Cricetulus griseus: one gene and its partners. The protein of the gene in region 1 purifies or fractionates together with the protein of each later gene. This does not show direct contact. Links are inferred from orthologs where the notes say so. Each region holds a gene or a part of one and is shown in the gene's direction. Other genes may lie near its edges.

Region 1 (4,182 bases):
AGGGTGGACTGGCTGCCTTCAGTTCATCTCAGCAGGTGCACACAATCAATCATCCAGTTCTTGTTTTCTATGGCTAGCTTGTAGCCCCCCAGCCCTCCCCCTTGCTTTCTCCCCAGGGATCAGGATAGTAAAGGCATGGGGTTTGTGGTCCTAAGGTGGAGCTCCTCATGGCAGTTCAGCAGGATGAGGCTCAGGGGTGTGTGGTCTCCAGGTAGAAGAGGAAGTTCCCTCTGGGATGCACCATAGTGCCCAGAGCTGGTGTTTCAGGCATTCTGTAGCAAGATGCCCTCCTGGGCTAGGACCTGTGTTCTGTGCCCGTGGAAGAAACTGAGGACACAATTCCAAGTTTCATGGTGATTCAGAATGGAGAAAATCCTGCAAGAGAAAGGTGTGGTCCATCTGGCCGCCCTCATCCAGCTCTTGCAGGATCACCTGAGCTATCTAGCCTGGGGGGGAGGTGTTCTGGCTTTGAGTTGTTCTCAAGAGCTCCAGATCTAGACTTCACTAGACAGGAAGATCTCACCTGGCTCCACCTCTGCAGGAGCGGGATTCCATCACCTTAGCATTTTGCTGAGGGGTGGGGTAGACTTCACCTTGCAACTGGATGTACCCCAGAGTAGGGCATTATGGGCTTCTGGCTGGGTACTGCTCGGATGCCAATGCTACTTCCTGTTATAGTTCCCCTGCAGAAAGAAGGAATTGAATGGGAACAGACATGGGGCTGGGTCCTAAAAGGAGCTAGATTTGGAAAGTGCCTAAGTATTGACAGCCAGAAACAGGACTCAGGAAAAGCAAGAATTTTTTTTTTTTTTTTTAAAGAGACATCTCACGTTGTATCCCCGATTGGCCTCAATCTCGCGACAATCAGTCCTGCTTATTTCCCGAGCGCTGGGACTGTGTCAAGCTTGGAAAGCAGGGTTTCTATTGAATTCCGTTGGGCGCAAAGAGCCCTATATAGAGAGTCAGACTGGAGCCCACAGCTTCTGCTCGGCCTTTGTCCCTCCATCCAGGACTTGGGAACCTCTTTTTTTTTTTGGTTTTTGAGGCAAGGTTTCTCTTTGTGACTTTGGAGGCTGTCCTGGAACTAGCTCTGTAGACCAGGCTGGTTTCGAACTCACAGAGATCTGCCTGCCTCTGTCTCCCGAGTGCTGGGATTAAAGGCGTGCGCCACCACCGCCCGGCCTTCAGCACCTCTTTAAGCAGACAGAGCGTCACGTCCTCACCTGAGTCTCCATTTCAGAGGAATAACAAACACTTGCCGCCATCCTCAAGCTAAGTAAGGCTGGGGCTGGTATAGGAGTTCACGCGAGTCTTTTGGGGTCTTACGTCACTTCCTGCGGAGACTGTCTTGACCAAATGTACACATCCGCCCGTTCCGACAGTCTTTTGGATGGGAGTGAAGCAGCTTCCGGCCTTATGGAGGTCTCCACAGTCTCCTTCCGGGTTATGGAGGCGAGTGCCCCGGATGTAATACTGGCGAAAGCATCTTTCCTTTCTTTCCCCGCCTGACCCCGGGCTCCTCGGTGAGCGCCAGCCGGTAAGACTGTTCGAATCCCTGCGAATTTGCTTCCTCTCTAATTTGTGCGCCGACTCTGACATGGTCTAGCAGCTCGCTGCGTGGAACTGGGGGTCCTAAGCAACCAGGGCGCCAGCTCTTGGGTCCGACCGGCCTCTGTGGGCACTCGGGTGGGAGCTGGGGGAGCCCTGTAGCTCCGCACTGGTAGGGGAGTGGTGACGTAGGGGAGCCTGGCTTTTTTTCCTGCGTGGGAGTACGCACAGGGTCCGCGCGGGGGCGGAGATCCGCCCGTCAGGGCCTCTGAATGAATTGCCAAACCAATTCCCGACGACCCGCCTGCTAGCGCTTGAGATGGTTCAGTGACCCTTCCTCGCTCAAACGGGACCTGGCGCTTACCAAGGAAAATGTGGTGCCACAGCGCTCTCGCGGCCGGCTCTCCTTACCTAATTTTCTTACTCCGTATCCTTTTCCGAGGTCCAGCTGGAGGAAGTGTTCTGCCAGTCATGCCAAAGAGGAAAGTGACTTTTCAAGGTGTGGGAGATGAGGATGATGAAGATGAAATCAGTGTCCCCAAAAAGAAGGTGAGATGGTCAGACTCCTAATGTCTGTGGAGGACTGAGGAGAAATAAAAGGAAGGAAAGCTGAGAAGCGAAAGAAAGGGTTAGTTTGCCCCGGTGCGCTGGGTTTGGTAGGTTTTCAGTTTGGATACAGATCCTGGAATATTTGGGAAGCTCGCCAGTAGGTTGCCTTTCTCATTTGCTGGTTTCTACTCACAGCTGGTGGACCCTGTGGCTGGAGCAGGGGGTCCTGGGAGCCGCTTCAAAGGCAAACACTCTTTAGACAGTGATGAGGAGGATGATGATGATGAAGGGTCCAGCAAGTATGATATCCTGGCCTCAGAGGATGTAGAAGGTGAGTTATTCCCAAAACATTAGCTGTGTTGGAGGGCAAGTCTGATTATGGAGGTGGGAAGTGTGCCTGTCTCTTTTTTGCATGCCTAGCATGGGGCCCCCATGTCTTTGGTGCAGGTCAGGAAGCAGCTACTCTCCCTAGTGAGGGGGGTGTGAGGATCACACCCTTCAACCTGCAGGAAGAGATGGAGGAAGGCCACTTTGATGCTGATGGCAACTACTTCCTGAACCAGGATGCACAGATCCGAGACAGCTGGCTGGACAACATTGACTGGGTGTGGCCCAGGAGCTGTCCTGGCTGAGGCCTGGGAATGCAGGTGCTGGGCCTGGGCCCTGGTGGAAGTTTGTAGGAAATAATAATTATCTTTCCCTTATAGGTGAAGATCAAGGAGCGGCCACCTGATAAGCACCAGGTTTCAGACTCAGAGGAGGAAGACAGCCTGGGTCAGACTCCGATGAGTGCCCAAGCCCTCCTGGAGGGACTTTTGGAGCTGCTGTTGCCAAGAGAGACAGTGGCTGGGGCACTTAGGCGTTTGGGGGCCCGAGGAGGAGGCAAAGGGGACAGCAAGGGGACTGGACGGCCCAATTCCCCACAGCGCCTAGACCGGCTCTCTGGGTTGGCTGATCAAATGGTGGCTCGAGGCAACCTTGGTGTATACCAGGAAACAAGGGAACGATTGGCTATGTGTCTGAAGGGTTTGGGGTGTCGGACTCAGGGATCCCATGACCCCACACCTCCACCCTCCCTGGACATGTTTGCTGACGAAGTGACAGAGGGAGAACTGGAAACCCCGACCCCTGCGCATAAAGGAGGTAAGCTTTTAGGACACAGGAGAGGCAATGCCAGTGGGAGACTGGGCACTTAAGGCCGATACGTCTTTGTTGTCTTAGAAGCAGAGTCAGCGGGAGATGGTCTAATGGATGTGATGTGGGAATATAAGTGGGAGAACACGGGGGATGCTGAGCTGTATGGACCATTCACCAGTGCCCAGATGCAGGTCAGTGGCTTCCTCCTGTCTTGTCTGTCCATCCCGACTTCTGTCATCTTTCCTAAGTTTTGTCCTCTCTTCTTACAGACCTGGGTGACTGAAGGCTACTTCCCGGATGGTGTTTATTGCCGGAAGCTGGACCCTCCAGGTGGTCAGTTCTACAATTCCAAGCGCATTGATTTTGATCTCTACACGTGAACCTGCTAAGGGCCCAGTGTGGTAGCCCCTTTTTCTTGGACTTGGCAGAGGAGGCCCCAGCTGCCCTGGGCAGTGAGGATCTTGGAAGCTACTCTTCAGCCACTTTCCCTTTCCCAATAAAAGCCTTGAGTGTGCATCAGGGCCTTGATGTGCTGGTAGCCAGAAGCCAGGGCTCCTCCGTAGCTCCTGTTGGCTTACCTGGCCCTTGAGTGTCTCCTCCTTCCTTAGATGCTTCTCTCTGGTGTCTTGGACCACCTCGGTTTGTTTTCCGCCCTTGGTGGCAGTAGTAGGGCCCGTCAGGTGTCCTGTGACTTGCCATGTCAAATTCCCTTCAATCACTCTATTCTCCTATCTCCCCTGCAAGTCCTTGTTTTGCTGATCTTCAGCTTTTAGGACCTCAGATTCTCTGGCCTAGTAACCCCTTTGCAGCTGGGACATTTGGAAAAGTTTGAGATCCTATTGAGAACACTCAGGAGGCCTCTTAAACATGGGTTCTCCTCTTCTCCCTAGTCTGATTTTTCCTTCCCTTGCAGTAGCTCCCATAGCTCTTAGGTGAAGCATGAACTTA
Region 2 (4,092 bases), on another chromosome or scaffold:
TGCGCCACCCAGTTTACTTACTGTAGGCTTTGTACGTGGGTGTTGGGATTTGAATTCAGGTCCTCATGCTTGTACAGTAAGCATTCTCGCCATCTGAGCCATCTTCCCAGTTGCTTGCTTATTTTCAAGTGGACATACTAAGAACACCTGTCTCATATAGGTAATGAGGCAGACAAGTGCTCAGGTAGGTAAGTTTTCTCCACCCATACCCAGCCCCTATTCCAGCCACATTGGGGCTTCACTGTCCCGGCCCAGACCACTTGCTTAACTGTGCCCATGGGAGGAGCCAAGGCTTTTGAGGGTCTAATAATATTGAGCCATCTCTCCTTTCTTTCTTTCCTTCTGCTATGGAGCTCAGGATAGTCTCAGCCTAACTATGTAGCTTAGGCTGGCCTTAAACTTTGGGAATCTTTCTGCCTCAGCCTGAGTCTATATTTTTTTAAGTCCTTGTTTCAAAATGTGGAAATCAGGAACTCATTATTAGAACAGTGACAGACTAGTACTAGTACAACTGTGTGATGGAATATTGCAATGCAATGTAAAGGAATAGATTGTCTGTACGTCAGGTGTAAAAGAGGCCAAGTTAGAAAGTTAACACTGTATAACTCTCGAGTATAAAATTCTAGGAAATGCAGTCACCCAGTGGTTTGGGTGGGAATCCACAGGGGCACAAGGACATTTCTGGAGTGAGACAAGTTTCTTCTCTTGATTATGGCAATGGATTCACAAGTGTTCACACTTCAGAATTTAGCTAATTACACTCGTCAAATATGTGGTACTCTGTATGTCAATTATACCTCAATGGAACTGTTCAAATAGGCAGGGACTAAGGCATGCCTCAGTGGTAAAACTGAATTTGGAGTTTTATTAGCTAAACAGTAAGTGAGCCTTGGCAGAGTATTTGCAATTTTCTAATTTCAGGATCCCTCTAAATATGGTACTAATTGAAGTTCCCAGGTACAAACCTGAATGGAGGAGATAAATTTGGGAATACTGACTCTCTTTTCTGTGTAGGTCATCAGCTCTGGATCAGAGGACTTCTCTGGATTGTCGTTTCGAGACACAAACTGTGTCGAATGCCAGCTTCCTTTCTTCTACAATCACTGTAGCCTGTGAAAGGTTCCTATCTCTTTAATCTGTGAAGAGATGATGGATAAAGAATTGTCTCAACTGGGCAAGTAGTGCCCATTAGGGTCCAGCCGTCTGTATTGTCCCTCTCAGCGACTCGTAGGGAGCTGCGCGTCAGAGGCCAGCTCGGTTCCTGATTGGCCGCGTGCCTCCAGCGTGCGCGGCGCCAGCGCGGAAGCTCCTAGCCGGTGGCGGCGATGTCTAGCCGGTCTAAGCGGCAGTCTCATGGTTCCACCCGCGGGAAGCGCGAGTCCGAGTCGCGGGGTAGCTCGGGTCGCATCAAGAAGGAGCGAGACCGCGAGCGGGAGCCGGAGGCGGCGAGCTCTCGGGGCAGTCCGGTCCGCGTGAAGCGGGAAGCCGAGCCGACTGCGCGAGAGGTCCCGGCGCCTGCGCCCCCGGCCGTGAGGGTGAAGCGGGAGCGCGAGGCCGACGAGGACTCGGAGCCCGAGCGGGAGGTGCGAGGTGCGCGGGGCCGGGCCGGGTGCGCCCTCCACCCTCGCCTGCTTTCTTCTTTTCTCCCTTTTCTTTCTTTTTTTGAGACAGGGTCTCAGGAACTTGCTGTTGTAGCCAGAGATAACCTTCCTCTCGCCTTCACCTCCTGCCAGTTTTCGCCTGCTTTTTACTTTCCCTTGCTTCTTACGCTTCCCTGTCCAAGGTTGAATCCAGACTGGACTGTCTTCAGGTGAAGACAGTTCTAATATTAACCGTTGTCACGATACATCACGGCTCCCCTTTGTCGAATAGCCCACGTGAGTTAGGTGCTCTGCTGATAGCGTTACAGGTATTCCCCTCTACAGTTTTTGCAAAATTCCTAAGATGCAGGGTCCTGTTGTAATATCTGGAATAAGCTCGTTCAGCCGGGATCTCTCTGCACCCGATTAAAGTACTGACTATTAGTTCAGTAGTTTGGAGACAATTCTGCTTCTCCTGGGTTTTGCAGGAGGTTGTTGTAGGGGTTCTGTATTGTTTTGTCAAGGATGTTGATATAGTGACTACCCTTGGGAGACAGATTGTATTATTATTCCATAATAGAGCTAAAGGGACGTAAACTCACAAGCAGATAGGATACCCTTCTTTAAGGGCAGGGTTTTTTAATAAGGCAACCCAGTTTGAGCACTGGCTCTTTCTATTCTCTTGTGTGACTTGAATCCAGGAACTGGTGAAGATGTCATGTCATTGGCTATTGTTATTGCTTTAATAGACTCTTGGTTTTAGTCAGTGATATCACATGCCTTCCATCAGTGATCATGAAGCTGTGGCAAGCTAACAAATCAGCTTGCTAGTAGGATTAACTCTCAGAACCATCACAATTCTTAGACAAATGGTAGATTTAAGATGTTCAACTTATCTTAATACTTGTGATATATTGGGTTATGTTTTGTTTTTGTTTGTTTTGAGACAGGGTTTCTTTGTGTAGCCTTGGCTGTCCTGGAACTAGCTTGTAGACCAGGCTGGCCTCTGGACTCACAGAGATCACCTGCCTTTGCCTCCTGAGTGCTGGCATTAAAGGCATGAGCCACCACTACCCAGCACCTCATTAGATATTTATTTAAAGATTTATTTATTTATTTATTTATCATGTATACAGTACATGCCAGAAGAGGACACCAGATCACATTACAGATGGCTGTGAGCCACCAATGTGGTTGCTGGGAATTGAACTCAGAACCTCTGGAAGAACAGTCAGTGCTCTTAACCCCTGAACCATATCTTCAGCCCCTATTTATTTATTTATTTATTTATTTATTTATTTATAGGGTCTATTTGCTTTGTTTTTCGACAAAGGGTTTCTCTGTGTAGCTTTGGAGCCTGTCCTGCAACTTCTCTGTAGACCATGCTGGCCTGGAACTCACAAAGATCTTGCCTGCCTTTGCCTCCTGAGTGCTGGGATTAAAGACGATAGAAGCTATACCGCCTGGCTATTTACAGGGTTTTAATAAGTAGTGTTGGCTGGCCTGGAACTTTCTCTGTAGATCTTGAACTCACAGATTTCTCCTGTCTTTCCCTCTCAAGGGCTAGGATTAGTAGTGTGTGCACCACCACACATGGTGAAAAAAAAAAGGTGTAGTACATTTATTTATATATACGTGTGCATGTACTATGGTGTACATGTGGAGGTTACAGGGCAATTTGTGGGAGTCAGTTCTTCTCTCTTGCTCCCATGCACTCTAGTAATTAGATTTGGTGGCAAATACCTTTACTAAGCAGTCTTCACTTGCTTAGATTATGTAATATGTGAATTAATCTCTTGTTGGTTATGTGTGTAATAGATCTAATCTCAGTTTGCAGTTTTTTTGGAATGTTGTCACTACAAGAAAATTAAAAGCTCATCTTAATCTTAGTTGATCAGATTTTCCCATTTCCATGGGAAATATCCATGGGAAATAGCAACAAACAAAACAAAATGTACTTGTGATTTGAGTAGTCTGCTGTCCTCCATTTATGATGCTGTGTAAGAGCAAATCCTGCCCTTACTAATTAAGTGCTCTATCACTGAGTTACATCCCAGCACAAGTTTTCCATTTTAAAGTCTGTGATGGATTTCTTCTCAGCAAAGAATGGCCGAGTGGATTCTGAGGACCGGAGGAGTCGTCACTGCCCATACCTGGATACCATTAACAGGTCAGTGATACAGAGAGGATGAGGAAAAGTCTTGGGAACATATCTCAGCAGTGGAGTACTTAGCCTGACATGTCAGAGATCCAAGGTTTAATTCCCATTACCATACAAACAAATCAGTAGATTTGAGATACAGAATATGGTAAAAATGTTGTAGAAAATTCTCCAAACTCAGCAGTGAACAATTCATTCAAACTTTTCTCCTTTTTAGCCTTTCTGTCTTGAAAATGGTGCTTCTTGCCACGTTCTTTCATGTTGTCCCTTTAAAGTGGCCAAGTGAGGGTGTTTGTTTATTGTGTATCTCTGGCTGTCCTAGACCTCAGTTTGTGACCAGGCTGCCCTGGA
Region 3 (4,068 bases), about 110 Mb from region 1:
AAGCGCTGATCCCACTCAATAGTCTGTGGAGCTGTGCACAACTGAGTAGGAAGGTAGCTGCACAAAGACAGGTTGGCCTGCCACTAAAGGATACTGCTATCCCCACCCTCAATATCACTGCCTGACTCCAAATGGAACCAGAATTTATGGGAAGTGCTGAGGCAGACAAACTTGCTGATCTCAGCATTCTAGGAGGACGAGCAGTTGGGAATAGCAGAGGCTCAGTACATAGCTCACCCATCTCTCTGCACTTTGCATTGTTTTAAATCTAACATTTAATGAGATTCCCATAGCCCTACACAGAAAACGTCCAGATTTTTATCACGGTAGCATACCATTTCATATGTGGACCACACTTTAGTGGTCCTTCATTGATGGACGTTTGTATATTCTCGTGACCTGGCTTAAGGCGTCTTCCTAGGTGCACTTTATCACATGGCAAACAGATCAGTTATGAGTGTGTGGAGCCAGGCGCTGTGGCACACACCTTTGATCCCAATACTTGGAAGGCAGAGGCAGGCAGATCTCTGTGAGTTTGAGACCAGCCTGGTCTATACAGTAGGCTCCAGGACAGCCTGGGCTACATAGAAAAACTCTTTCTTGAAAAACAACAACAACGAAAGTGTGTGGAAATCACAATTAAATAAATATTCCAAGATATCATCAAAGGACATACTTGAACATGGACAAGTGATTATTATTTCCACTAAGGGTCTCGTTTAGTAGCTCAGGCTGGCTTTGAGTTTGTGGCAATCTTCCTGTCTCTGCCTCACAATTGCTGGGATTACAGGAGCGTGCCACCAAGCCAGGTAGATAACTTATTTACTCAGGGCGGATATGTCTACTTTCCAAAACGTTCCGCACCTGTGTTTTACAAGATGCGGGCGGTTGGGTTACTCCTGGTCCACAGGTGCCAGGGAGGACACAAACCACCTGTCAGCAGTCCGGATTCCTTCACCGATAGCCAAGGCACAACTGTCTCCTTCATCGGTCCCAACCCGGGAAAGGACCTTAACCCCAACTAACCTGGGCTGTTGCTTAGAAACCCTTCTTTGGCCTGCAAACCCGAACAAACGGAAGTGAAAATGAAACACGGACGCAGAAAATGAACGTACCATCGCGCGTCCCAGTCAATAGCCCAATAAGCAGACGGCGTTATTATAGTTCTCGCCCATTTGGCACTGCCCCAACAGGAAGTTATGTCATTTCCGCCCTTAGTAAATATGGCTGACCTCGGTCTGTCTTGCCTCTCACGCCCACAGGCCAGAGGCGGGGTATCAGCTATCACTCTAAGCACGATTGGTCGCAAGGAAACCTGGGGCCCAGAGGAAGACACCGTGGCTTTGAAGGCGTGTTCACGTTGTTTCTCTCTGGCGTCCAGGAACCTTGTATTTCTGGGCTACTCTCGATGGTATTTTTGGACGGATAGAGGACCCCGCGCAGGGCATTATGGGACAATGATGGCCGCTTTCAAACAGTGGAATTTACCTCTTTGAGACCCTCAGACCGAGCAGTGTTCGCGCTGGCGTCCCCAGATCAGTGGCAGAAGGTCCCGAGAGTCGTGCTTGGTGAAGTGAGTATCTCTTCCTCTTTCCAGATCCGTCCTTCGGCCGCCATGGTGGCTCCAGGCGGCCGGGGTCGGTTCGCGGCTTAGGTTTTGGGCCCTGGTTTCAGAGTTCCTCTTGTCCTTGTTACCCAACTTTCTCTACTCACTTGAGCGGTCTTGTGTCTATTCAGCCTGCTCCGGACTTTGTCCCCGTTATGGTCACATCCTTGTGTTTGGGAACGGCCCCCTGAGATCGAGGCATCCGCCCTGCGCCCTGGTTTATTTAGGACGGTGCCCTAACCTGTTACCTAGAGAGTCTGGATAGGGCTCCTGCTGCCTTCCTCCTTTCTCACCGAAGTGTCTCCATTAAGTCTGGTGGTTAATCTATAGGTAGAATATTAACCGCAAAGGGCAGGGAGTTTTTGGTTTTTGTTTTTAAAATCGGTATTGTTGAGAACAATTGACTCAAGGACACATGCAGTTGCTGCCCAAGAAGTCCTTTGTGGCTTCTGTGTCACTGATCTTTCTCCATAATCTGGCCCTGGAATTCCTTGTTTGCTATTTTGAGCGGACAATTAAATCCTTCCTTGACCTGTGTTGTGGATAAACTTCTTGTTGTCCAGAGAAATGTTTGAGTTCTTGTTCTCTTTTAATAGGATATATTTATTCATTTGCTTTAAAATTAGACTTTCATTTTGCCATTGCTGGGTTATAGCAGTCAACAAGACAGCCTCTCGCTTGTATGCAAATGACATTTTAGGACATAAGTCATCATTCAGGTAACTGCTGAGAGTCTGTGTACCTCAGTCTCCCCGTCTGGATTTCCTCATGTATATTTACATGTAACTTTCTTTTTCTGCTCCACCTGATGGAATTTCCAAATGAAGCTCTTGTTTGTTCATCTACATCATGTTTGCAGTACTCCTTGGTAGAGCTGTGCATGCCGATTAGAATATGGCAAAAGAAGTGTAGATTCCAGAGGTACAGTTCTTATGCTTTAACGACTTACTGGAATGAGAATAATTGTCTGTGTGTCCAACATAAGTTCATGCTTCTAAGTAGATGGTATCAGTTAAAGACGAGTGTGTTATCAACCAGGAGATCTTGCAGTCTCTTAAACACTTTCCTGAAATACCACTTCCTTAACTTAGCATTTCTCATATGCAAGTTTGGTAAATACAGTTTCTTATTCAAGAGATTTTTGCCAGCTATGGGCAGCTTTTTTTCCCCCCTTTTTGCACAAAACACTACTGATCACAACAAAAGTCACCAAGTGTGTAGAATATGGATGGTAAAATTATGTCCTTACACTTACACTTTGTGGAACCTGTGGCTTCAAGGGGGAGGGGATAGGTGAGTAGAAGAATGTATATAAAATATTAGAAATATTAGTAAGGAAACTAGTCAGTATACAGGGGCATAATAGCAAATGTGTAATAATTACACTGACAAAACATCTATGGTTCATGTACAGTTGTTAGATTCTCACAGTGGTTCTGTGCAGTGTATAGAGAAGTAATAGCTAACCAAGCCTGCTGCTTACTCTCACAGAAGCAGAAAATGCCAAGAGCCTGGGTATCTTTTTTATTTTTATTTTTTAATGTCTGTTACTAAAGAAGAGGGTGTGCTGCTGCAGCTGACATGAAAAAGGCCAGCGTGTTTGGTTGATGTTTGGAGGCAGTAAGCCAATGGGGATCTTAAAGGTGATTATTGTGATTCTTAAGTAGAGAAAGTAGAAGGGTGAAATTACAGGAGAATAAATTAAATAATGGGTAGGGAAAATCTATGAGTGAGGGCCATGGGCATGAATGAATGAATATGTCACTAAATAGTCTAGCAGTTATGAAACTCACTATGTATCTCAGGCTAGCTTCAAATTTGCCATCCTCTGGAGCCTCCTCAGCTTCTCACCTGCTAAGATTACAAGTGGGTGTCACCGTGCGTAGGACCAGAAACTGGATTTTAATTGAGGTTTCTGACTTACATCTAGTTCCCCTTCTAGTCCCTTTTTGTATTCCAGTAAGAAGTCCTTACTGAAGTTTATTCTTGTCTGGATGATACCCTCTTGATCCTACCACTTGCTCTGTGTATATGTGTCTCTGTGTCTTTCATATATGTTGAGGTGGGAACTGGGAAACTTTTTGAGATCGTCACTGATTTGGTGGGAAAGTCTTCGGAAGTAGCAAAGGGGGCTAGAGAGATGGCTCAGTTGGTGAAGTGCCTTCTCACAAGCATGAGGATCCGAGTACAAGGAAAGCTATGAGTAGAGGCACTTGTGTGCTGAAGAGGCAGACACAGGCAGATCCCAGGAGCTTGCTGACACCCTAGCTTGGCTGGATTTACTCCCAGTCCAGTGAGAGACCCTGTCTCAAAAAGTAAGGGAGCAACTGAGAAAACACTTGACATTGACCTCTGGCCTCATGTGCACACAGTGCCTGTGTACCTGCATGAACACACACACACACACACACACACACACACACACACACACCCTCTGATAGCAGAAGATGCTTTGGGCTCAG
Region 4 (4,285 bases), on another chromosome or scaffold:
CATAGGTATTAGGCCACACTCCTTATCAGTAAAACCAAAGGATGCCCATGTCATACTGATATGACAACTGAGTAAGACAAGCAGCCTAAGTGTCTAGCCAGAGCTGGAAGGGATTGGCATTAGGAAGACTGTCAACAGCTGAAGGGTTCTAAAACTCCCAGCCACCTTTGGTCTGTAGGGTTTTTTTTTTTTTTTTTTTTTTTTTTTTTTTTTTTTTTTTTTTTGCATTAGGGTTTCAGTCTGTGAGTGGAGAGCCCTCTAGTGTTCATTATTCCCAATAGATCTCAGACTGACTGAGCCCTCCCTGTGCTAGAAGTTGCAATGTATAAGGTTACTAGAGCTCTCCTAAAGTCTCCTAAACTACACAGAGCACTGTCTGTGAAGCTGAGATTTTGGATTGGGATATATTCAGAGACCCTGTTTGAGAACAGAAAGAATATATAGAGTGAAAAAAAAAAAAAGAGACTGGAGGCTGGAGAAATAAATGACTCAGCCATAGGACCACTGGGTTCTCTTCCAGAGGATCCAGGTTCAATTCCCTGCACCCACATGGCAGCTTACAACTGTTTGTAACTCCAGTTCCAGGGGATCTGACACCCTCACACAGACATTCATGCAGGCAAAACACCAATGCACATTAAATAAAAATAAAATAAACAAATAAAAAGGCAAACCAGGCCAACAACTCTGTGGGATTAAAGCAAAGTTGATGGGGAAATGTTGTTTAAGGAAGTGCTGGGTACCCCAGTTTCTCTCAGCCATCTTAGCAGGTACAACTTTCATTTTGTTTTGGCGGGTGCTGATGGTGCAGTTTGAACCAAAAAGGAAGAAAGTGGGTATGTGATTAGAAGAAAAATTCAGTGGACCGATGGAGGGAGAACCTGAAGGAAGAAACCAACAATAACAAGTGGCCCAAACAGCCCAAATGATCCTGAAGAAAATAATTTTCGTGGGTCCCATCTGGGATGTTGAGTCAGCAGTAAGAGTTTAGGAGAAAGTCCTTCCTGGGAAGTCTTTGGAATGTCGGTTTATTATTTATTGGGGGGGGGGGCTTGGAGCATTAAGGAATTCACCCTACTGGGGCTGGGGCTCAAGATTGTTAAAATACCTTCCTACGATTGGGGTAGTTCTACCATGAAAACTGTACTACCTTCATAGGCTGCTCCAGTTAACTAACTTTTAGTTCATCCAGCTGTAAAAGGGAGGCAATAATCTCTCTCGCGATTTTTATAAAAACATTTTTTAAAAAACAGTAAATTACTTGTTGCCGCAAAAATTCCCTCGCTGCCAGCTATGACTGCGATTAACTCCAGTGTCTACTAGAAGATTCCAGAGAGCCTGAGCCACAAGAGAACCTTGCAGGCTGGGAAGACAACACTTGGAAAATTCTTTCTCCCACAGAAACCGAACCTTCGCGGACCACACTACCCAGAAGACCTTGTGGCTCGGGGCCCTCTCGCGTGCATTCTGGGATTGGTAGTTTTTGGAGCCCGTTCGTCAGCTCGCGCGGTGCGGGCCCAGGAACTCGCCTTCCCGGCTACCCGCGCGGCCAGGGTGCTCCTCCGCGATCAGGAAACGCGAAAGATGGCGACTGCTCGGCGACGTTGAGGCCGCGTTAGGCGGTTCAGACGCGGGGTGGTGAGTGTTGGGCGGCGGAGGTGATTCCTATGAGTTTGGAAAGTGGGCGAGAGCGGGGAGATAGCCCTGGCTTCCGCTTCTTGGTCCAGACGGGGAAGAACGCCTCAGGGAAGGGGCACGAGCCCGGGAAGCTCTGGCGGTCAGGAGCGAAGGGGCGCGGGCCCCAGGAGCAGTGTTGGCTGTCTGGGGCACAGGCCACCTCCAGGACGATGTTATGAGCCAAGATTTTGGCCCATGGACATCGCGCTTGCTATACCTCAGTCTGACTTTATTCCTGATCCTTTACTTCAACCAGACTGGACCTCTGATGTACTTCCAGAAACCAGTCTGTGCTTTCCCGCTACGGCGTCGCCAGTATTACTGCTTTTGCCGGAAATTAGTTCTAACCCTCACCCTCATCTTCAAATGCTCAGGATACACTTCTTCCGTGGATCCTTCCATATCCTCTCTTACGAATGGAAAGAAACTGCTACTTTGGATTCTCGCAATACTTATCTGATTAGTCTTTACCTTGGCGTGTCTCATGCCTTCTGCTTCCTGTGGGCAGAATTTCATTTTGTAACTACCACAGGGCCTAGGACCGAGTCTTACATATAGTAGCAACAGTTAAATGAAAATAATTCGCCTTTGCCCTACAGCAGAACTGGGAAGCACAGCCAGGGTCTTCTATAATCATTGCCTATATTTGCATTTTTGGTTTTGCAGACAGGGTCTCTTGTAGGTCAAGCTGGCCTTGAACTCAGTATGCAGCTTAGTCTGTCCTGACTTTGAACTTAGTCCTACCTTCACCTTCCTAATGCTAAGATTTCAGTCGTAGACTACTTAGCATTTCTCCTAGTTTATATATTTATATACATATATATGTATATATATATATTGTAGTTAGATATCAATAGACAGAGAATAAAAGCAATGTTTTCAGGCAGGTGGTGATGGTGCACACGTTTAATTCCAGCAGGGAGGTAGAGGCAGGTGGATCTCTCTGAGGCCAGTCTGGTCTATAGAATGAGTTCCAGGACAGCCAGCGCTGCACAGAGAAACCCTGTCTGGAAAAACCACACACACACACACACACACACACACACACACACACACACACACACACACACACACTTTCTTGTAAGTCACCACAGGAATTTTTTTTTTTCTCTCTCGGGACAGGGTTTCTCTGTGTAGCTTTGGAGCCTATCCTGGCACTCGCTCTGAAGACTAGGCTGGCCTCGAACTCACAGAGATCTGCCTGCCTCTGCCTCTGCCTCCCGAGTGCTGGGATTAAAGGCGAGCGCCACCAACACCCGGCACTTAGAGCTCTTTTAATGGGGGGGGGGGAAAAAAGCTCTTTTAATGTTCTCAGTGAGATTAAGTTGAAATTCAGGTGCTTTTGCCCTGGACCCTAACAGTTTATTTTGCTTTTATTGTCAGTTTCAGTTCTCTTCCAGACCCACTCCATCCAAGTTTGTATTCTTCCCCTTTCCTGCCATTCAAACAGCTTTTGTGAAGGCCACTAGTCATCTCCTCCCCTCCCAAATCTTCAATGGTTCTGTGTTGACTATTCTCTCTTTGAAATGTGTTTTGCTTCTGCATTGTTATAGTTTACACCCCTACCCCCATCCCTGCTGCTGTTTTTTTCTAGTCTTTTCTTTTGTCTCTTCTAGGCACCCTTCAGTGTTAGTGTGCTAGAGCTGCACTGTGGATCTCCTCTTCTGCCTGCTTAGGTGATGTTTAAGACACAATGACTTAACAGCTGTCTCTGTACTCATATTTTTGTCTTCCCGTGTCTCTTTAGAGTTCCAGATTTCTCTTTGGTTGCTTTCTTAATATCCCACAAGCTGGCAAAAATGGCACTTTTGTTCTGTTCCTTCCCTAGTCTTCTCTGGTTGCTTCACTGATGGTAACAAAAACCAGTAGTTTCCTCAAACTGTATGTACATTTAGGAACTGTTTTCCGCTATCTCATCCCTTCCCCAAACTTTGACAGTAACATGTTTATTTTATCATCAAATAGAGAATGCAAAAGAAGTTTTGTTTTTGTAAATTGTGTATGTGTGTGTATGAGTGGTGAATACATAGTATATGTGTTGTGGGAGGGACAGAGGAGGACACTGGGTGTCCTGCTCCATCATCTCATTCCCCCGGGACAGGTCTCCCCTTGAACTTGGGATGGCCTCCTGCTTCCACCTTCCTTATAGCCCTGGAGTTACAGGTATATTTAACCATGTCTAGCTTTAACATGGGCACTGGGAATTTAGCATGTACAGAAAACACTCCTACCTGCTGAGCTATCTCCCCAGCCCCAGGAGCTGTCTTTGTGTCTCCTCTGTAGTTTTTCCCTTTATCAGTAAGTCTTGTTAGCTCTACTGCCAAAGTATGCCTGTCTCTTTTTGCATCCCTAGAACAAGCCACTGTCATCTCCTGCTTAGATATAGTTGCCCCTTGTGATTATCTGAGGAGAATTGGTTCTAGGACCCTAGGTGAATAACAAAGTCAGCATATGCTCACGTATCTTCCATAAAATGTCACAATATTTGCATATACACTACATAATCCCCCTGCATACTTTAAAAGATTTTCTAGATTAATTATAAATGACAAATGGCTTTGTAAATTGTTGTTTTGCATTATTTGGGGAATGGTAATTTTAAAAATCT
Region 5 (3,500 bases), on another chromosome or scaffold:
CTCCTAGAGATCCACATTCCTCTGCCTCCTGAGTGTTGGGGTTAAAGGTGTGTACTACCCTCCTTACTCCTTATTTATTTATTTGTTTGTTTATTTGTTTATAAGACAGGGTTCAGTGGTGCCCAGCCTGGCTTCCAAATCAGTATGTAGGGGAGGATGGCCTAAGATTTATGATTCTCTTTCCTCTACATCAGTGGTTCTCAACCTGTGGGTTTTGACCCCACAGGGGACACATAACAGCTGTGTCCTGCACATTATAATTCGTAACAGTAGCAAAATTGCACTTATGAAGTAGCAATGAAATAATTTTATGGTTAGAGTCACCACAACATGAGGACCTGTATTAAAGGAAGGTTGAGGACCACTACTCTACATCCGGAATCCTGGGATTATAAGCATGTATCACACCTGACTTTTGCAGTCCTGGAGATGGAGGAAACCAGAATCTAGACAAGCATTGTACCAACTGAGCCATACCCTCTCTCCTTATTTTCCCTCTGTTATAATGGGAAGAGCTTAAATAACCAATTTTTCTCTCTCTCTTTATTATTTGTGGCACGTTAATAAATCAGTCTTTGGCCACCATCCCAAGTCACCTAAATCAAGTTTGCTTAGGAAGCACTGTTCAGTCAAATAGCCTGATCCGATTGATGCCTTAGAGTGTGGAAGTCTAATAAGATGCATGAAAAGGTACAGGGAGGTGGGTTTGCTGGTAGTTGCCTTTGATTTGTTGTGTATGAAAAGTTTAAATGATGTGATATTTATCTTTTAGGGTGCTGGGGACCCAAGCCTTTGTGCCTATCAAGCAAAGTACTCTTCCAAAGAGCTACTTTCCCAGCCCTCATCTTAAACTTTGAATTTTAATTTAAGCAGATTTATCTGGCTCTACTACTTTGTGCTCCAAAAAAAATTAGAACCTTTTACCTCATATAGCAGGGTCATTAAGTATATCAGGAATTGGGAATTCCGAGAAGAAAACTATTTACTTAGTTATGAAGACAGGATTTCACTATTTAGCTCTAATTGGCCTCTGTCTCCTGAGTACTAGAACTAAAGACATAATGTGTCTGAAGCTATTTTATTTTATTTATTTATTTTTGGTTTTTTGAGATAGGCCTTCTCTGTGGCTTTGGAGGCTGTCCTGGAACTAGCTCTTGTAGACCAGGCTGGTCTTGAATTCCCAGAGATCCGCCTGCCTCAGCCTCTGCCTCTCAAGTGCTGGGGTTAAAGGCTTGAGCCACCAATGCCCACCAATGCCCGGCTTTTATTTTACTTTTTATGTGTGTGTTTCATTTACATTTATGTATACACCCCAGAAGTGTGCAGCTAGCTAGAAAGAGTTCAGTCCCCTAAAACTGGAGTTGCAGCATACAGTTGTGAGCTTCCATGTGGGTACTAGGAATCAAACTTAGGTTCCTGGAAAAGCAGCCAGTGCTTTTAATTGATAAAACACCTCTTGAGCCACTACAATTTTAAATTTGGGGGAGGGGTATGTGAGGGAAGATAAATTTATGTGTGTGTGAGGGAAGGTGCCCTCAGAGGCATTAGATCCCCCCGCCCCCCAGGTCATAGGCAGTTGTCAGCATCTCATTGTGGATTCTGCATAACAAACTTGGGCCCTCTGCAATAGCAGTATGTGCTCTTAACCATTTCTCTAGTCCTCTACAAAGAAGTTCTTAAAATGTTTTTTTACATGAGCTAGAGAGATGGCCCAGCGGTTAAGAGCACTGTCTGCTTTTGTGGCAGACCCAGGTTCAATTCCCAACACCTACATGTCAGCTCACAGCTGTCTTAATTCCAGTGCTGTCTACTGTCCTCCTTGGGCGTGCAGCATGTAGTGACATGAATAGTCAAAACATAAAATTACAGCCGGCTGTTGGTGGCTCATGCCTTTAATCCCAGCACTCAGGAGGCAGAGGCAGGTGGATCTGTTTGAGTTCGAGGCCAGCCTGGTCTCCAGAGTGAGTGCCTGATAGGCTCCAAAGCTACATAGAGAAACCCTGTCTCGAAAAACCAAATAAATAAATAAATAAATAAATAAATAAATAAATAAAATAACAATACCTTAAAGAAATGAAGAGTAAAACCTTTTTCCCTTTTATTCTAGTCTGTTGTTTATTACATGTTTGGTATTGAACTGTATACTTTTACCTCTTCAATCTGTGGCTTCTTTTTTCCTGTCAGATCACCTGAAACCTTTTCTTGATGATTCTACTCTCCGATTTGTGGATAAGCTGTTTGAGGCTGTGGAGGAAGGTCGAAGCTCTAGACATTCCAAGTCTAGCAGTGACAGAAGCAGAAAACGAGAACTAAAGGTAGGTTACGGTCACTATATAATAATAAGCTCAGGAGTGTTTGGAATAAGAAATGTGCTGGCATACCTGCTTACACTTTGACATCTACTATTAGAACACCTAGTGTGAGGGCTACGGTTAAAATTCAGTAATAGAGAGCTTAGTGCTTGTCCAGCATGCATGAGGTTCTGGGCTCAATCCCAGTACTGCAACAAATAGAGTTAAAAACAACAACAAAATAGAACACCCAGTGTTCAAGAGGGAGCCTCAGACATTAAAGTAGAAGGGTAGGATTTATATTATCTCCATCACCCTGAACCTTTCTCAAAAAGGTTCATTTAAAATAGTCCAAGGAAGTAATTGATAGCTTGTCCTTTCTTTATTCATACATTTTATTTTCACCATTCCCTCTTTACCTACTACCTATAAATTGATTGATCTAAGAATCTTGGTCTACTTAAAGTCTAGTAAGTTGATTCATCATATCTCCACTGCTTCCTGACTGTGGACCTTAGTCTTGTTCATTAATAAAGATTTCTATTTAATATACTTGTAGATAAGATGCCTGAAACTAACTGCCATATAGTCCACATTTGTTGTATGTGGTTACTGGCTCCATGAGTGGGATGTGTGAAAGAGTTAGAAATACTCCCTTTTCTGCTAAGTACTTATTTTGTGGTTACAGTATAGTCATGGTCTTTTTATATATGATCTTATCTCAGTTCCCCAATGTAGCCCATTTCTCTGTCTGACTTTCTTTTGCCTCTTTTGGGTTTTTGGTTGGTTTGTTCTGAGATAGGGTCTTACTATATAGCTAGCTCTGCCTGTCTTGGACTGTGATTCTCTGAGTGCTAGGGTTACAAGTGTGTACCACCATGATCAGCTTGTTTTTGTCTTTAATATGTTTTCTTTTGTTTATGGATTTTTTTAAAGATTCATTTAAAATTTTTATTTATGTATGTGTATACACACAGATGACCATAAAGGTCAGAAGAGGGTGTCAAATCCCTTGGGGCTTGAATTACAGGTAGTTTTGAGCAACCATATATATACGTGCTAGGAACCACACTAGTCCTTGGAAGAGCCATACTCACTCTTAACCTCTTAATTATCCCTCCAGCCCTTGTTTTGGGTTTTTGAGACAAGATCTTGCCACCAAGCCCAGGCTGCCCTCAAACTCAGGTTCTGACCCAGCCTCCTGAGTGC
Region 6 (3,500 bases), on another chromosome or scaffold:
CATGGGGACAGGTAAACTGTGGGCTCAGTTCTCACAAGACACCCTGTAAGGGAGTGAATGAGTGTATATATGTGTGTGTGTGTGTGTGTGTGTGTGTGTGTGTGTGTGAATGACGGGTAGTGATGGGAGGTAAACCTGGGTCTTGTGTTTGTTAGGTAAATGTTCTACCACCGACTTCTAGCCCCACCTCCCTTAAAATTTGAGACAGGGTCTGGTTAGTTATTCAGTCTGGCCTTGAACTCACTGTAGCCTATGTGATCCTTTTGCCTCGATTCTTGAGTGTGAACAGGCCTGATTAATACAATCCTTACTAAATGAAGAAATGAATGTACTTGACAATCTGCCCGAGTTTTCCACTGACTAACACGTGTCATGTGTTATTGGAAAGATATTATTTAATAACAAATACATGTATTATTTCCTTTTGTAGTTTTTAACACATGTGGGCATAGTGGCCCACACCTTTACCCCCAGCATTTGGGGGCAGAGAGAGGCGGATCTTAGAGTTTGAGGCCAGCCTGTCTACAGAGTGAGTTCTAGAACAGCGAGGGCTACACAGAGAAGCCCCGTCTCAAAAAAACCTAAAGAAAAACAAGGCATACGAAAAATTGTAAGGTTTAATGGTATGTCACTACAGATTCCTGTCCGTTTGTAGTGACTAATAAGCATATTTCATTTTTAGATTTTTATGTAAAAGTTACTTGACCCAGAAATTGGTTTGTGGAAGTAGGACTGCTCGGAACTGGTTTTCACGTTGGTGTGTTTATAACTTGAGGAACTGAAAGATATAATTGACGCAGAGGAAGAATCAGGGACACAGGCATGTGAAGACAAGCTGGAGAGAGGAAGTCTGTTCTTGGTCCATATCCCTGTCTTAACATCCCTTGAAACAAGACATCCCTTCCCTGTTCTCCATGGAGTATTTGTATTATGCATGAAAAAGTAGAAGTATATATGCTGAGAACCAGGAAATCTGCATTTAAGTTTTAATTAGATTTGTGGGAAGGGAGAAAGAACAATTTTCTCCTAATTTGGAAAACTTGTCCAGGAGTGATTCCCTATGGGTACATAGGGCACAGATACCAAGTAAGTCACTGGCATAAGAATATTTTACTATACAAATGAGATTGTGAATAAATTAATATTGTTTGTGTAATAGAAGTATATATACAGGCTCTTTGTTTCCTCGAGGACCATATGTGGTTTAGTTTCTAAATGTCACTTGTGGTTTAGGAGGGTCTTCGGCAGTTGGGAATGTTGGAGGAGTTACAGCAAAGTACTATGATGACATTTATTTTGATTCCGATTCTGAGGATGAAGACAAAGCAGGTGAGTACCTTTTTGTTTAGCAGGTGTATTTTATGAATATTATCTGCCTTGACAGTTATTTAATATTAGATTTTCCATCTGAATTTTTTTAAATTTTATGTTAATGGGTGTTTGGCCTGCATGTATTGTCTGTGCACCATGTTCATTCCTGGTGCCTTTGGAGTCCTGGAGAGGGTGTTGAATTCTCTGGAACTGGAGTTATAGATGTTTGTGAGCTGTGGGACCAGCAGGGCAGAAACCTCCATCTTCAGTGAGCCACACCATGTAGGTGCTGGAAATCTAACCTGGGTCCTCTGGAAGAGCAGCCAGTGCTCTTAACTGCTGAGCCGTCTCTCCAGCTCTTCTCTTAAGTTATTTTTAAGAAACTATAGACTGTTGGGTGGTGGTGGCACACATCTTTTATCCCAGCACTGGGGAGGCAGAGGCAGGTGGATCTCTGTGAGTTCAAGGCCAGCCTGGTCTACAAAGTGAGTTCCAGGCCAGGCTCCAAGACTACACAGAGAAACAAAAACAAACAAACAAACAAAAAACAAAAAAAGAAAGAAAAAAGAAAGAAAGAAACTATAGACTAAGCCAAGTGTGCAAGTGTGGTGGCTACACCTTTAGTCCCAGCACTCAGGGAGGCAGAGGCAGACCAGAGCTATACAGTAAGACCCTGTCTTTTTTTTTTTTTCTTTTTTTTTTTTTTTTTTTTTTCCGAGACAGGGTTTCTCTGTGGCTTTGGAGGCTGTCCTGGAACTAGCTCTTGTAGACCAGGCTGGTCTCGAACTCACAGAGATCCACCTGCCTCTAGCCTCCTGAGTGCTGGAATTAAAGGTGTGTGCCATCAACGCCTGGCTCAAGACCCTGTCCTTAAAAGAAAAAAAGAAAGAAAGTGTATGCTGTTGATGGGGGTGCAGAATTGGTTAATAAGAAAGGCAGGGCGTGCAGATGTGTGCGTTTACAATAGCAGTTCTCAACATGTGGGGTACCACTCTTTCACAGGGGTTGCCTAAGACCATCAGAAAACACACATATCCCGTGTTCTCAGGAACTGAGACACTGTGCCTCTCTCGGCCTCCAGGTGGTCCACCTACATGTAGATACAGGTGTGATGACATCATCACTCCAACTCCTTCACATGTACCCCAAACAAATACAGGTGTATGTGACAGGTTGGGTGCAGTAATGTCCTTATGCAGACCAGTCACACATGTGTAGAGAGCAGCTAATGTTTTGAAAGCAGCAATACTGGAGGTAAAACTACACTTTATAAATTATAATTAATGGGTAAATGTAAAATCATCAACTACTGCAAAAAAATAAAATAAAATAAAAGCTGGTGTACCATGGAAACTTAATCTAGATGCTGATCTGTCTTTTTATGTTCAGCTGTGGTTGATGTGAATATTGCTCCCTTGTGATAGTTACAGGGTTATAAAAAACCAAGACAGGGCTTTTCGGGGCAGGGCTTCTCTGCATACCAGCTCTGTGTGTCCTAAAACTCACGCTGTAGACTGGGCTGGGCTTGACCTCACAGAGATCCACCTGCCTCTGCCTCCCCAGTGCTGGGATAAAAGACGTGCTCCACCATGCCTGACCAGTCATAGAACATTTTAATAAACTGTGTTGACTGAAATATGCAATGTATCATCTTTTGTCTTATAAAAGCTATTATTGTATATTATTTTCATTAGAAAACCATCCTATGGCTGGCATTGGTGGCCCATGCTTTTAATCCCAGCACTCAGGAGGCAGAGGCAGGCGGATCTCTGTGAGTTCGAGGCCAGCCTGGTCTCCAGAGCACTGCCAGGATAGGCTCCAAAACTACACAGAGAAAACCTGTCTCGAAAAACCAATGGATTATATATAGGAAAATATTAAGAAAATATAGTATTTTTTTTACAGTATGGTTTACCTCAACAATTACAGCAGGAATTGAGAAGTCATGATATTTTATTTGTTGTGAAGTTCTGTTAGCAAAATCTATGAAGCTGAACAAACTAAAATACCATTTTGATAGCAAGCATCTGAGCTCTGCTGGCAAGAATACCAACTAATTTAGAAGCAAAGCTCATGGACTCAGAAAAGCCAGACTTGACAGGTGGTAGTTATGCACGCCTTTAATCCCAGCACTTGGGAGGCAGAGGCAGGTGGATCTCTGTGAGTTCAAGGCCAGCCTGGTCTACAGA
Region 7 (4,068 bases), about 20 Mb from region 1:
GGTTATGCATTGTGGGGCGGGGGGGGGGCAGTGGTAAGTGGGTGGCCTGGACTTAGCTACTTCCCACATATTCTGGGAACCCTGGCTGCACCCCTTCCTCGGCAAACACATGCTGTCTCTGCTACTGAGTGGGACACCTAGAAATGCTAGTGAACAGGTCCACCTCTGAAGACTCAGTAGTAGAGCAGAGCCGTAAAGGAGCAGGAAAACCATACCAAAACACGCCGAGGTGTGCTACACAGGAAACCCACAGAGGAGCAACTAGTAGCAGAAGGGAGTGTGTGAATCCTTAACTTTAAAGCTCATCTCCTCAAGACCAAAACAAAACAACCAAACCAAACAAGCAATCAACCAAATAAAAAAGCCCAGGAAGAGAGAAAAGGCTGGGAAAGCAAGGCATTGTGGCTTGTGCCTGTAATCCCGGACTGAGGCCACATAGTTAACGGGACAGAGGAAGGAAAGAGAGAGGGGGGGGGAGGGAGGGAGGGAAGAAGGAAGGGAGGAAGGAAGGCAGGCAGGCAAAAGAAAAACGGATCTGCCCAATTTGCACTTGAGCCTGGCTTGGGCGAGCATGCCTGAAATCCCGGCCACTCGCAGCACACGGGAGGCTGAACCAGAGGGTTCGAGACCTGCCAGGGCTACGTAACAAGCACTAGGCCAACCAGACCTATATAGACCCTATCTTAAAAAGAAAATTAGAAACAAAAACAGCACTCAATTTCACGGGGTTCACAGGCACAAATTCATAGTGTTCCGTAGCAGTCCAGAGCTCAGGTTAAAAAGACCCAATCTACCAATCCAGGGAAAGTGGGCGACGGTAGCATTCGCTGGCAACAGTGGTTTATTGGGGTTGCAAGTCTGGGGCTTTGCAGCTGGTTTCTTCAAGAAGAAAACATGCGGTATCTTCCAACCCCGGACGGATCCCCGGCCCCGGGGAGCCTACGAGAAGGACAATCACTGGAGGAGGGGACGCCCACGAAGAGGCTTGAGGCACAGAGCGCCACGAGGCTCTCGGAGTGGAAAGGTCAGGGAAAGAGCTCCCAGCTCCGCAGACGGTGGCTTTTAGCACGATTCCAAAGCTGTTACAGTTCTAACCCGGGAGAGCCAATGCCGACCCCGTAGCCTCTACAGGTGCACATGCGCAGAGCCAGTCCCCGGGAGCCGGGAATGCGCAGTCTCAACCCGTCCCTCCCATGAGCCTCTGGAGGTTCCCAGGCCGGCCCCGGAAGCAGCCGCTCTTAGTTTCCGGCAACAGCGCAGCGGCGGCCGCACGACCCGGAAGTATTCCCATTTTGCGTCGTCTGGGCTCGGGTGGCGGCCCGGCTCCAGACGGACGCACTAGTCATGGGGTCGTCAAAGAAGCACCGCGGGGAGAAGGAGGCGGCGGGGACGACGGCGGCGGCCGGTACCGGGGGCGCCACCGAGCAGCCGCCGCGGCATCGAGAGCACAAGAAACACAAACATCGCAGCAGCGGCGGCGGCAGCAGCGGCGGCGAACGACGGAAGCGGAGCCGCGAGCGTGGGGGCGAGCGCGGGAGCGGGAGGCGCGGGGCCGAAGCCGAGGCCCGCGGCGGCGCGCACGGTCGCGAACGAAGTCAAGCGGAGCCCTCGGAGCGGCGCGTGAAGCGAGAGAAACGCGATGACGGCTACGAGGCCGGTGAGGGCGGGGCGGGGGCGGGGCAGGGGCCTGGGGTGCGCGGGACGGAGGGTGCAGGGTGACCGCCAGGGCCTGTGCCTCTCGGGCTGAAGACTTGCTCCGGCTGTTGGGGACTAAAGACTGACTCCCCATGTTAAGCTTCGGAAGGACCGGGGTCTTGCGTTTCCCCTTCCCGTCTGGCACTTGACAGTAAATGCGGTGGGTGGGCGAAAGGAGGAGGTGCGAGCATGCACAGACAGAGGCAAGAGAAACCTGACAGTAGGTGGAATCGTCATGAAGCAGTAAGATACGCTTGGGTCTGAACACCAAGGACCCTGTGCTGTAAGCTCTGTTGAGAAATTTGGGCTTTGTGATGAAGACGGTAGGGAGTCGAGGATTTGAGTAGGGAAGTGGGTTGATTTACTTCATATGTTAAGATCACACTGGATTGAGCTGGGCATTGGTGGCGCACGCCTTTAATGCCAGCACTCGGGAGGCAGAGGCAGGCAGATCTCTGTGAGTTCGAGGCCAGCCTGGTCTCCAGAGTGACTGCCAGGATAGGCTCCAAAGCTACACAGAGAAACCCTGTCTCGAAAAACAAAAAAAAAAAAAAAAAAAAAAAAGGATCTCTGGGTTGAGAGCTTGTCAAAAATAGGACTACAGACCCTGAGATTAGGAGGGAGGTCAACCCAACCAGGTGAGGACTAACAGTGAGTATGCATGTTTCTCCATGCAGTAGGGTGGAGAGACTGGAAAGATTGAATAGGTGTTTAGGAAGTGCAATGAACAAAATTTAGTGCGTGGGCTAAGGGGATGGGAGGGATGAGGAACAGGGAATGCCTCCTGGAGTTTTGACCTTACCCGCCTGGTGAATGGTTTTCATCTGTTGAAGTTGGTGTTTAGAAGACTAGCAGATTTGAGGCAAGGGAGAATGACCCAGTTTGGGAGAGCTTTGGTCAGTGTGTATGGGAAAACCTACAGTTTAAGTGGGATAGAGTGATTTGAGGCTAGTGTGTATTCAGGAATCCAAAGTGCCCTAGAGTGTGTGGAGTGAGAACTAGGATCAGAAATAGAACTTAGTAAATGCCAATAGCTCAATTGTGGGCAGAGAAACATACTTAAAAAATAAAGAGTAGCCAAATGGCAAGAACACTACAGTTGGGTCATAGGATCTGTACAAAGAGATGATTGTTGAAAAGACAGAGTGGTTAAGAGCATCACACACCACAGGGCATTATGCAGAACCAGAACTTGTAAACAAAGGGTTGTTTTCATTTTATGCATTTGAGTGTTTTACCTCCATATGTGAATATGCACTTGGTGCATTCCTAGTGCCTGTGGAGGTTCAGAGGAGGACATTGGATCCCCTGAAAATGAGTTAGGTGGTTGTGAGATGCCATATAGATTATGGGAACCAAACCTGGGTCCTCTGTAAGAACAGCAAGTGCTCTTATCCACTGAGACATCTCCCCAGCCCCTAAATTGAAACTTTTTTTTTTTTTTTAATAATCTGCTAATTGGAAAAAGGGAGACTTGAGACTTGAGAGTTCATATAGAAAATGGGGTCCAGAGCCTAGGTGGAGGAGGAAGGGTTTAAAGAGCAGTGAGTAGTGTGTGACAGGGGACTTGGGCATCCTGGTGGCATCTTCCTCTGTATAGTGTTTATTGAAGTTCTCTCCTGTTTGTGGGGTGGATAGATCAGGTCCAGAGTGCTTCCTTTCCTATGTCCATAGCATCTGGCATGGAACACACACTAGTAAGTATTCCATACACTGCTGTGGGCAGAAAGTGCCAGAAATGACAAGCAGTGCTGTGCCGTTCTAGGCAGAGTTTTAATTCTGGTCAGTAATTGAGCAGGGCTTCATGGAGGAGATGATACTTGCTCTTTTGATAGAACTTTATGAGAACAAGAGCAGAAGGGACTGTGGAGGCTGAAGGTAGAGTGTGGAGATTTGGAGTGGCACAGTGAGGGATGCAGAAAAAAGATAAGGGCCTGGGTAGCAGCTGCAGGGAACCCTGGGGGAAGAAGGCTGCTGTTTTCTGGTGTCATCTACCCAGGTGCTGGTGGGGGCCCTTGTCTTCGACCTTGCAACTGAAGACCATGATGTTGCTTCTTGGTCCCATGTTCATGGGTTCCTTAAGCCGTGCTCCTTATTGTTCTAGCTGCCAGCTCCAAAACTAGCTCTGGAGATGCCTCGTCACTTAGCATCGAGGAGACCAAGTGAGTAGCCCTTATGCTGTTTTGATTTTCCTCTGAGACTGGTTGCACCTGGGGCTGTTACCTATAGAAACTTTTTCAATCTAAATGAAGCCAGTTAGAATTGGAATGGCCAGATGAGTCATACTGCCAACCATAGGAGCTACGTGGAAGAAACTGAGACCCAAGAGGAAGGATAGTCTTCCCCAGTCAGGAAGCCTGTTCTGGAAGCCTG

The links.
Region 2: the proteins of Cd2bp2 (region 1) and Usp39 purify together in Homo sapiens (affinity purification with mass spectrometry; 5 studies listed by BioGRID and IntAct, with this or other methods). This does not show direct contact. The link is inferred for Cricetulus griseus from reciprocal best matches to the Homo sapiens genes CD2BP2 and USP39.
Region 3: the proteins of Cd2bp2 (region 1) and Dhx38 purify together in Homo sapiens (affinity purification with mass spectrometry; 3 studies listed by BioGRID and IntAct, counting the BioPlex papers as one, with this or other methods). This does not show direct contact. The link is inferred for Cricetulus griseus from reciprocal best matches to the Homo sapiens genes CD2BP2 and DHX38.
Region 4: the proteins of Cd2bp2 (region 1) and Ddx23 purify together in Homo sapiens (affinity purification with mass spectrometry; 6 studies listed by BioGRID and IntAct, counting the BioPlex papers as one, with this or other methods). This does not show direct contact. The link is inferred for Cricetulus griseus from reciprocal best matches to the Homo sapiens genes CD2BP2 and DDX23.
Region 5: the proteins of Cd2bp2 (region 1) and Prpf3 purify together in Homo sapiens (affinity purification with mass spectrometry; 3 studies listed by BioGRID and IntAct, with this or other methods). This does not show direct contact. The link is inferred for Cricetulus griseus from reciprocal best matches to the Homo sapiens genes CD2BP2 and PRPF3.
Region 6: the proteins of Cd2bp2 (region 1) and Eapp purify together in Homo sapiens (affinity purification with mass spectrometry; 3 studies listed by BioGRID and IntAct, counting the BioPlex papers as one, with this or other methods). This does not show direct contact. The link is inferred for Cricetulus griseus from reciprocal best matches to the Homo sapiens genes CD2BP2 and EAPP.
Region 7: the proteins of Cd2bp2 (region 1) and Sart1 purify together in Homo sapiens (affinity purification with mass spectrometry; 4 studies listed by BioGRID and IntAct, with this or other methods). This does not show direct contact. The link is inferred for Cricetulus griseus from reciprocal best matches to the Homo sapiens genes CD2BP2 and SART1.

The regions. Positions count from the first base shown.
Region 1 is NC_048596.1:73,578,254-73,582,435, forward strand, and holds the start of Cd2bp2 (CD2 antigen cytoplasmic tail-binding protein 2), read left to right. Parts: upstream 1-1,382; 5' UTR 1,383-1,537; intron 1,538-1,990; exon of another isoform or gene 1,991-1,996; 5' UTR 1,997-2,019; coding exon 2,020-2,097; intron 2,098-2,292; coding exon 2,293-2,428; intron 2,429-2,544; coding exon 2,545-2,702; intron 2,703-2,804; coding exon 2,805-3,240; intron 3,241-3,318; coding exon 3,319-3,425; intron 3,426-3,503; coding exon 3,504-3,614; 3' UTR 3,615-4,182. UniProt on the Homo sapiens protein: Involved in pre-mRNA splicing as component of the U5 snRNP complex that is involved in spliceosome assembly.
Region 2 is NC_048601.1:64,076,363-64,080,454, reverse strand, and holds the start of Usp39 (U4/U6.U5 tri-snRNP-associated protein 2), read left to right. Parts: upstream 1-1,292; 5' UTR 1,293-1,325; coding exon 1,326-1,590; intron 1,591-3,680; coding exon 3,681-3,750; intron 3,751-4,092.
Region 3 is NC_048596.1:185,933,518-185,937,585, reverse strand, and holds the start of Dhx38 (pre-mRNA-splicing factor ATP-dependent RNA helicase PRP16), read left to right. Parts: upstream 1-1,268; 5' UTR 1,269-1,573; intron 1,574-4,068. UniProt on the Homo sapiens protein: Probable ATP-binding RNA helicase. Involved in pre-mRNA splicing as component of the spliceosome.
Region 4 is NC_048595.1:395,146,137-395,150,421, reverse strand, and holds the start of Ddx23 (probable ATP-dependent RNA helicase DDX23), read left to right. Parts: upstream 1-1,485; 5' UTR 1,486-1,638; intron 1,639-4,285. UniProt on the Homo sapiens protein: Involved in pre-mRNA splicing and its phosphorylated form (by SRPK2) is required for spliceosomal B complex formation.
Region 5 is NW_023276806.1:60,654,367-60,657,866, forward strand, and holds part of Prpf3 (U4/U6 small nuclear ribonucleoprotein Prp3), read left to right. Parts: intron 1-2,183; exon of another isoform or gene 2,184-2,184; coding exon 2,185-2,315; intron 2,316-3,500. UniProt on the Homo sapiens protein: Plays a role in pre-mRNA splicing as component of the U4/U6-U5 tri-snRNP complex that is involved in spliceosome assembly, and as component of the precatalytic spliceosome (spliceosome B complex).
Region 6 is NC_048598.1:147,611,368-147,614,867, forward strand, and holds part of Eapp (E2F-associated phosphoprotein), read left to right. Parts: coding exon 1-11; intron 12-1,233; coding exon 1,234-1,329; intron 1,330-3,500. UniProt on the Homo sapiens protein: May play an important role in the fine-tuning of both major E2F1 activities, the regulation of the cell-cycle and the induction of apoptosis. Promotes S-phase entry, and inhibits p14(ARP) expression.
Region 7 is NC_048596.1:53,945,796-53,949,863, forward strand, and holds the start of Sart1 (U4/U6.U5 tri-snRNP-associated protein 1), read left to right. Parts: upstream 1-1,268; 5' UTR 1,269-1,344; coding exon 1,345-1,657; intron 1,658-3,799; coding exon 3,800-3,857; intron 3,858-4,068. UniProt on the Homo sapiens protein: Plays a role in mRNA splicing as a component of the U4/U6-U5 tri-snRNP, one of the building blocks of the spliceosome. May also bind to DNA.